2 linked regions of the Saccharomyces cerevisiae S288C genome follow. The main gene of each other region encodes a partner of the protein of the gene in region 2 in a complex. Each region holds a gene or a part of one and is shown on either strand. Other genes may lie near its edges. A codon is read from its position in the direction of its gene.

Region 1 (5,238 bases), on a different chromosome or scaffold from region 2:
CCTCGTATTACAATAACCATTAGTGTCTGCCTTTGATACAAATATTAACCGTTCGGCATCTGCTTCATCCCAAAGCGTGACATACACATACACTTCTAATGAAAAAAAAACTTTTCCTTGGTGAAATAGACTAAAGAAGTGTTGAGTCTTGATCGTGCTTTTTGGGACCCTTTTGTCGTCCTTATTTGGGGTTACGACAGCATGGGTTTCTAACGGAATAGATTGCAACGATAAGTATTCAAATTGTTCACTGACAGGTAGCACGGAACTTAGGAAGTCATTCAGTGACATGTCTTATTGAAGACCGGTTGAATTGACCTTTTAACTCTACTGGACAACTCTATTGACAAACTGTAGTTTGTTAAGTAATGCGTTATGGCGTCCATTTTCCATTATAGCTTACAACGCGAACACGAAAAGTATAGTATGTTGTGATGTTTTCATAGACCTGGAGAATATTATTAGTAATTGTATGCATCTCAGAAGCAAGAAAGGTTACGACTACATATGCACACATACATACGTACATAATATATATATCTATTGACGTTTACGACTTAACGGGGATTTATCATGCTCTCTTATATAATCCATATCTTGATCGATTTTAGGAGAATTGGCGCTTAGGCTAAAAGGTACAGCGGGTATTCTGCCAAAATCAATATGGTCAACTTTGGATGGCATGTTTCTAGTGGTACGCCTAGGAGAATACCTTAGAGGTTTTCCTCGCGTCGGAGATCCGTTTAAGCCTGTCGTACTTTCAAGGTTGATCTGTTTTTTAGCTGTAGAATCAAGAACACTGGAAGATTTCACCGGACTTGGTATGGCTCTTCTTGCCCTGCTATAATGCGACTTCATCGCTTCCATTCTGTGCTGCTTTATTCTTTCTGAGCCTGGTATGGTTGAGGCGTTTTGAGAGTCTGATCTTATGGGAGTTTTTAGTTCATGTTTAAGATTGAAGTCCTTCCTTCTCTTTGGAGAACTGTCTGAACGATTTTTCCATAATAATAACAATCCCCTTACAGTGGCCCTGTCCCACCGATGACGAAACACCTCGACTGTCTCATCATTACGCTTAATTTTTAGGAATCGAAGACTCCACATTTTCAAGAATTTGGATGTAATTATGAATTGTTTATTAGCTTCCGATTGTTCCAATAATGTACTCATATAAAATATTTCGTCTAGATGAGTTTTCCAAATATAAAACGTCTTGACTAACACAAATTCTTCGCGAACTTCGTCTGCTAATTCTTCTGATTTTACTATCTCTAAAAGTCTTTCTCTAAATTTCTTCAGCACCATTTTTTCAAGCTGGTAGTTTCTCTTTGAAATAGCCTGAATGTTACATTCTTCTGTGTAGAAGCAAAATCTATTTCGCCAAGCGTTGAACAGTTGGCTTTGAAGTTCGCGCTCTTTACTCTTTTCATAAACGTGTAAAATATCGTTTAACTTATGCCTGACTTTGAACCTTGTGGCTTTCCGCCACTTTAAAAAGGCCTTAGAAAGCTTTACTCTATCCATAGAGGGCGCCAGTTTCGTATATAGCAAATGAACATTATCAATATGCATTAGCGTCCGTTTTACAGTCAAAATTGCATGTGTCTTACATAAGAAATTGTATCTATCCTCCAATTCCTTAGTTTTAATCAGGCGTTCTTTCCATATAGCTAGACACTCATTTACGAGACCCTCTTCGTAAAATTTGGATGCTTCGTCATTCATAGAATTCATTTGTAGCATCCTCCTTTTCCACACACCAAGATATTTTGCACAAAATGCCGTTTTAACATGTTCGCTCGATATTTTCCCATACTGTATTCTTTTCCTCCATGTACGATACGCGCTTGCTTGAATACTCTTTTTACATTTCTGCTCAAATATTTTTAACTTTACTTCAAGTTTCCAACTTCGCAATGATGACTTGAGCAAATTAGTCCTCGAATAATCGCTTGCTTTGAGGTCAATATATAGAAGTTTTTTCCATGAATGAAAAATACGCTTCACGAGGTTAGCCTCTTTTAGACTTACAATTGAATACAAATGCAGATGGTCTTCGAATCTTTTCAGCCACATCTTCTCAAAAACGCACCTCAAAAGTGTCTGATTTAGTTTACTCTTTGCAATTGCCTCTTGTTGACTATGTTGAAATGACCGGTTTAATTTGCGAAAAAACTTTTGTTTGATGAATTTATTCTCCAGTTCATAAAGTGCCCCAAGTTTATCTTCGTTTTCAATGTTTTTCTTTTCCCATTTATTCAGATATTTTCTTTGTAGAGAAAACGACCTCACTTTTTCTGCAATGCTCTTATTGTATTCATAGTTTATAACTTTCTGTTTTATTCTTTCGAAAATCCTTCTTTCCAACCCGTGGTAGTTTATTTCTTTATGTCTTAGCTTCCATATATGAAATGTTGTTCGTAAAAATATCTTCTTAATGTTGTCAGTGTTAACAGTTTCTAAGTGTTTCCAATGCTCTTGTGCCTTTAAAATTTTCCTAAACATCTTATTCAAAAAGGCCTGATCTGCTAACCTTGACTGCTCCTTAAGAGTTTGTGTTAAAGTTATCCATTGTTGGAACGAGCGAAATAGTAGCCAAGTATTCCTAAAACTTTCAGCTTCATCGTTGGCCATCTGTGAGTATTTTAATGTTTTATCACTCCAAATATAGAAGACGGCTTCCTGTACCCTCAGCTTTGCTTGATTTGCAAACCTGTTTGCCTCTTCATTCAATTCACATACAGTCTTCCAGTGATTAAAATGTCTTCTGATTTTGTTCTTAGCGTAGGTATATTCTGCAAGGGACAATGCAATGAATTTGTTGCGAGGGTGGATTAAAAATATTTCTAAAATCTCTTCTATAACAGAATTGAAAGTGAAAAAACCTTTCAGTTCATCTTCCAATATTGTGAAGTACTCATCGCGTAAAGGATTGATGCCTTCTTGAATAAGAATATTGACATAGTTTTTGAAAATTTGTAAAAAACTTCTGGATAGTTTGAAATGAACCAAAAAAGCTTCAATCTGGCGGTATAAATCTTCGATTACCTCAACGGATATATCATTCAAATCATATCGTAAACCATTCTTAGGAAGATCGGTAACGTCTTCATACTCCAGATTTGTCGAATCAACCGGTGGAGAAGGAAGATGGAACGGCGGGTCTTCGAAAAAGCCTTCAGTTTTATTTAATTCTATAGGCTTTAAAGCGTTAACAATATACCTTTCTGCGCCTCCATGAATTAGTGATTCGGTGGAATCCGTTATTTGCCCTTGCTTGATGAGTACATCAGTGGGAATATTAGTTGGAGATGTCTCGGGTACGAATTTATCACGCAGAAGATTCTCCGTTGATTTATTTGTCGTGCCGAATTTGCCCATAACCTAGCACATATAGGCAATAGATTGTGATTAATAGGCCACCTTTATTTTTTTGTTGCTGCCTTCTTGAGTTTCCCATTGCCAATCTTCGCGCATCATGGCACTATCTATTTATTTTACCTATACATAATATTACCCTCCATTCGATAATAATAATAATAATAGTTAACACAGAAAAATGATGAGATACAGGTAGACTGTTCATTACAAAAACGTGGTTCTATGGTTCTATATATGTATGGTTATTTATTTACTTATTTATCCGTGCATTCTTTATCTAAATTCCTCTCCAGACACATTTTTCTACCAGATCGTAACTCTTGGTGCTTTGAAACTTAATGAGACCCATGTTTTCAAAGGCGAAGATTGCTTGCATGAATAAAATTAGTGCTACTTTGTCAAATGCGTCCGGTGTTTCTGCTAGTTCTAAGAGTTTGGTGTTGGAGGGATCTTTTCTTATGAAATTTAATATTTCCTCTTTTGGTAATGTTTCTCTGAACGCAATGTAGAAATCGTAAATGTTGATAGTCATATTCGCCTCACGATAAAGCTTGAATAGCTGACCCAGTACCGGAGCCATTATTTTATCCAAATCTCCAGAAAGAGTATCATAATTTTCTTTATCAAGCGAAGGCAGCACCTGCTCCCAACTTAGTAAGTTATCTTCGATATTTGACTTGTAAGAAGGGAAAATCGACTGGGTAAGTAATCCACTTCTGTTGTCCAAAGTAAATAGCTCTTGAAAAATTGTATCAATGGGTTCAAAATGAAGCCGATCCTTATACTCTTTACATGCTGACCAACGATCTAGATAGGAGTCTAGTTTGCCAATAAGCAAATTATGATATAATTCTATCAGATTAAAATTGGTTATATTCAATTCTTCTTCGAGGAATCGAGCAACAAACTTAGCATGCCCGTTAATCGGGTTCTCTCTTACCAAAAACTCAACAAAAAACTCTTCTAGGCCTCTGTTTTTGTTTGTCAATAATGAAAGAATTTCGTCAGCAGGAGCATGCTGCTTTATAAGACCTTCGACAAAGAACATGAATGTAGGACATCTGCTCAGTATTTTTAAGTAGTCGTCGTTCAAAAAATCAACATTTACAGGGTCAATGAATACTGAAAAGGCATTCTGGAAAAAGTACGACATCAACGAATAATCCAGCATCTTCGTCAATAATTGTAAGTTGTGATTAGTATTATTTGCCATCTTGCTGAGAATGAATTCCACAAAACGATCTGAAAGATTTAGTTTGCCATCAACCGTATCCAAAAAGCTTTGAAAGATTTGGTTTCCGTACTTAAATCCTTTATTACTCGACACGTCTAGTTTATGATAATTTCTCTTCAGAAGTCGTATGGTTGATTGTCTCAAATTTTTCTCAATATTTGACAAGTTTGTATTAATATTAAAGATTAAACTTATTTTAACATGGTCATACTTGAAGGCACTTTTCAATAGAATTATGAAGTTATCCAATGTGTTGAAGTTAATAGAATCTACATCTTTAAAATTAAATACCATTGCTAAGTCTTTTCCAAAAAGCCTTTTGAAGTTTTCCACAAGTGACAGATCGTATGATACATCATTGTTTTGCTCGGTAAAATCGCCATCTTCATCGTTAATGTCTTCATACTTGATAGTTGGATGTTCTTCTGCATCAGCTGCGCTGTAAAGTTTGTACATAGACCTACGAAGCATCATTCTTACATTCGGAGATTCTTTCGGAGTCAATTCAATCAAAACGTTGTAGCGAGAAGATTCGTCTTTAAGTTCAATTTTTGTCGTACTATCTGAACCTAATAGGAAAATAGTGTTAAAGCATCGCCTTTTCTGAGTAGTTTCACTATATA
Region 2 (2,794 bases):
TCACCTCTTGGAATAATTGAACTATAGATAATAATGCAGCTGTACCAAAATTGGGATAAGTAGTTCCAAAATTGATGGAATTTCTCGATGCAGCAATTATTATAGCTTTGTCTGATTGTTCTCTCCCTTCAATTTTACCAACAATATTAGGAATAAAATGCTTTTCCCTAACATTAGTTTGCAGATCTACATCGATCAATACGTCTCCCATTTTCCCACTGTTACTACGATCACTATTACCATCATCAACCGTTACTCCTCCTGAAGATAAACGCGATAGTAGCTCTTTTCCTTGTCTCGTGGAGATTGGGATAGTTGGAATATGAGTTTGACGCCAAAATTTATGATCCTTTTCTTCTACAGGAGAACCATCCCAATTCAATCCTGATGCATCACCAGTCGAATATTGGGGCAATCCTACAGGCTTAGATTGAACAACGTCTATATTCTCACCATATGGCTCAGATATGAAGATTACAGCTTTAGCTCCGAATTTCTCAGCAATTAGTACTTGCTGACTCACTAATTTATCATATTGCAGTAAAAGCACATAGTCCTTCCCATCTTCTATCGTTTTCGAATCTTTTAAATGTTGTAAATCGTATGTTGTACCTTTGCCTCCATAAATCAAGCTCACTTTGGATAATTTCCCGTTAGAACTCAACGGATTGAAATTTTCTTTAGAAAGTTCTAGATCATGCTTTTCATTCTTGTTATCATAATATGAAATTGATACATTGCCTGGATAATTAGAATAAACTGAGTATCCCATTTCTTTAACCAATTTCAACCCATTGTTGTCAAAAGATTCCTGAATGTATCGATAAATAGCTGCATCACCCTTCGTTCCGGATCCATGAGGCATGCTACTAATATATTCCAAATCTCTCTCAAACTTTGCCAAATCCACGGATTTTTTGGCATATTCAAAAAGTATATCGTGTTGAGAAAACATCCCTTTAGATCCTGATGCCTTTTCGTTGAATAAGTAGCCACTTGACAAGACATAATATGCAATAAATGACATGAAAATGATGTAAAAGAACCTTCGAAGTATAAAGGGATTTCCGATTTTACTTAAGTAATAGTCAGCTTTGTCTGGAACGAATTTTGATATTTGTAAGAGTGGATGAATGATGTTTTCCATTAAGGGTTCCAAAATTTTTTCCTGAAACCCAATTGAAACCCTCTGTAGATGTGTTCTTTTGTGAAGATCATCGTGAGGGTCCTCTATATCAAATTCATAAGAAGGTGGTTCAGGTGGAGGCGTTATATTAGTTTCTATACTGTTGTCGTTAGAACTAGGAGGAGAATCATCAAAACGCTGGCTCATCAACAGATTATGGGACGACGACGCAGTAGGTATAGCATTTTCATGTTCAAAGTTTGTAGTTGACACTGGTTGATAACTGCTCCTCATTAAAATTACTTGATCTCAATACCCGGGGGTATTATCTTGGTTTGCAAATTAGTTACAGATTTCAAATAACCCAAAGCTTGATGTATTTCTCTAGTATTGAGAGGCGTTTAGGAAAAGAACAACTTTAATGATGCAGGAAGTACTTGCTTAACTAGTTCTTGCCTGATGCCGTAATTTTATCTACTAAATTTCCAAGAGTTTTGGAGGCTTAACTATTGCGAAATAGAGAGAAAAAAAGAAGAATCCTAATTAGTAAGTATGGAAGAGATTTATTAAACGAGAAAGGAAGTGAACCAAAGAAGAAACGGAAATAAATCATACAGTATGAGTAAGAACAGGTCATCGCTACAGTCTGGTCCACTTAATAGCGAGTTATTGGAGGAGCAAAAGCAAGAAATATATGAGGCGTTTTCATTGTTCGATATGAACAATGATGGGTTCCTCGATTACCACGAGTTGAAAGTAGCAATGAAGGCCCTGGGATTTGAGCTACCCAAGAGAGAAATACTTGACTTAATAGATGAATATGATAGTGAGGGGCGGCATTTGATGAAGTATGATGATTTTTATATTGTAATGGGGGAAAAAATATTGAAGAGAGATCCGTTAGATGAAATAAAAAGGGCATTCCAATTATTTGATGACGACCATACTGGGAAAATAAGTATTAAAAACTTGAGGCGTGTAGCTAAAGAATTAGGAGAAACTTTGACGGATGAAGAGCTGAGAGCGATGATTGAAGAGTTTGATTTGGATGGTGATGGCGAGATTAATGAAAACGAATTTATAGCTATTTGCACCGATAGTTAATTATGACTATATATTTAATCTATAAAAATGATTTGTAACTATATTAGTATACTCCCGTGGGTCTCTCGTTTTCTGTTTTAACTTACATCTTGCCCAAGGATGCACTTAAAAGTGAAAAAGCCAATCTAATCCTGCAGGGCAACAATAAGAGAAGACAATAAAACAAAACACTGAAAAATGTCATGGAGGTATGCGTTAAAAAACTACGTTACCAGCCCAGAAACGGTAAACGATGATACAGTCACATACTTTGATGATAAAGTGTCCATAATTAGAGACTCGTTTCCTAAATCAGAGTGCCATTTATTGATTCTACCACGAACTATGCAGCTGAGTAGAAGTCATCCTACTAAAGTGATTGATGCTAAGTTTAAGAATGAGTTTGAATCATACGTTAATTCTGCGATTGACCACATCTTTAGGCATTTTCAAGAAAAGTTCCGAATAAAGAAGAGTGATGATGACAAAGACCCCTGCTGGGATGACATATTAAAAGACAAAAACAAGTTTGTAAGAAATTTTGTACAAGTTGGGATACACAGCGTGCCTTCGATGGCCAACTTA

Evidence for each region. Proteins that work in one complex are often made in the same cells at the same time.
Region 1: the proteins of CDC31 (region 2) and SFI1 are in contact, whole or in part, in a crystal structure (PDB 2GV5), measured with the Saccharomyces cerevisiae proteins. Residues at the interface, in NP_014900.3 of Saccharomyces cerevisiae: Glu20 (codon at 1,802), Glu24 (codon at 1,814), Glu27 (codon at 1,823), Ala28 (codon at 1,826), Leu31 (codon at 1,835), Phe32 (codon at 1,838), Asp41 (codon at 1,865), His43 (codon at 1,871), Glu44 (codon at 1,874), Val47 (codon at 1,883), Lys50 (codon at 1,892), Ala51 (codon at 1,895), Leu52 (codon at 1,898), Gly53 (codon at 1,901), Arg92 (codon at 2,018), Glu97 (codon at 2,033), Arg100 (codon at 2,042), Ala101 (codon at 2,045), Leu104 (codon at 2,054), Phe105 (codon at 2,057), Leu118 (codon at 2,096), Arg120 (codon at 2,102), Val121 (codon at 2,105), Ala122 (codon at 2,108), Glu124 (codon at 2,114), Leu125 (codon at 2,117), Glu127 (codon at 2,123), Thr128 (codon at 2,126), Leu129 (codon at 2,129), Glu133 (codon at 2,141); in NP_013098.1 of Saccharomyces cerevisiae: Arg670 (codon at 1,374), Tyr674 (codon at 1,362), Cys678 (codon at 1,350), Asn679 (codon at 1,347), Gln681 (codon at 1,341), Ala682 (codon at 1,338), Ile683 (codon at 1,335), Lys685 (codon at 1,329), Arg686 (codon at 1,326), Asn687 (codon at 1,323), Tyr688 (codon at 1,320), Gln689 (codon at 1,317), Leu690 (codon at 1,314), Glu691 (codon at 1,311), Lys692 (codon at 1,308), Val694 (codon at 1,302), Leu695 (codon at 1,299), Lys696 (codon at 1,296), Lys697 (codon at 1,293), Phe698 (codon at 1,290), Arg699 (codon at 1,287), Glu700 (codon at 1,284), Arg701 (codon at 1,281), Leu702 (codon at 1,278), Ile705 (codon at 1,269).

Annotation. Positions count from the first base shown.
Region 1 is NC_001144.5:141,344-146,581, reverse strand, and holds SFI1 (Sfi1p), read right to left. Parts: upstream 3,382-5,238; coding exon 541-3,381; downstream 1-540. Other genes in the region: H3 histone acetyltransferase RTT109, read right to left, coding at 1-291; ORC3 (origin recognition complex subunit 3), read right to left, coding at 3,659-5,238. UniProt on the Saccharomyces cerevisiae protein: Component of the spindle pole body (SPB) half-bridge involved in the initial steps of SPB duplication.
Region 2 is NC_001147.6:809,264-812,057, forward strand, and holds CDC31 (centrin), read left to right. Parts: upstream 1-1,744; coding exon 1,745-2,230; downstream 2,231-2,794. Other genes in the region: TRE2 (putative zinc metalloprotease), read right to left, coding at 1-1,420; HNT3 (DNA 5'-adenosine monophosphate hydrolase), read left to right, coding at 2,408-2,794. UniProt on the Saccharomyces cerevisiae protein: Functions as a component of the spindle pole body (SPB) half-bridge. At the SPB, it is recruited by KAR1 and MPS3 to the SPB half-bridge and involved in the initial steps of SPB duplication.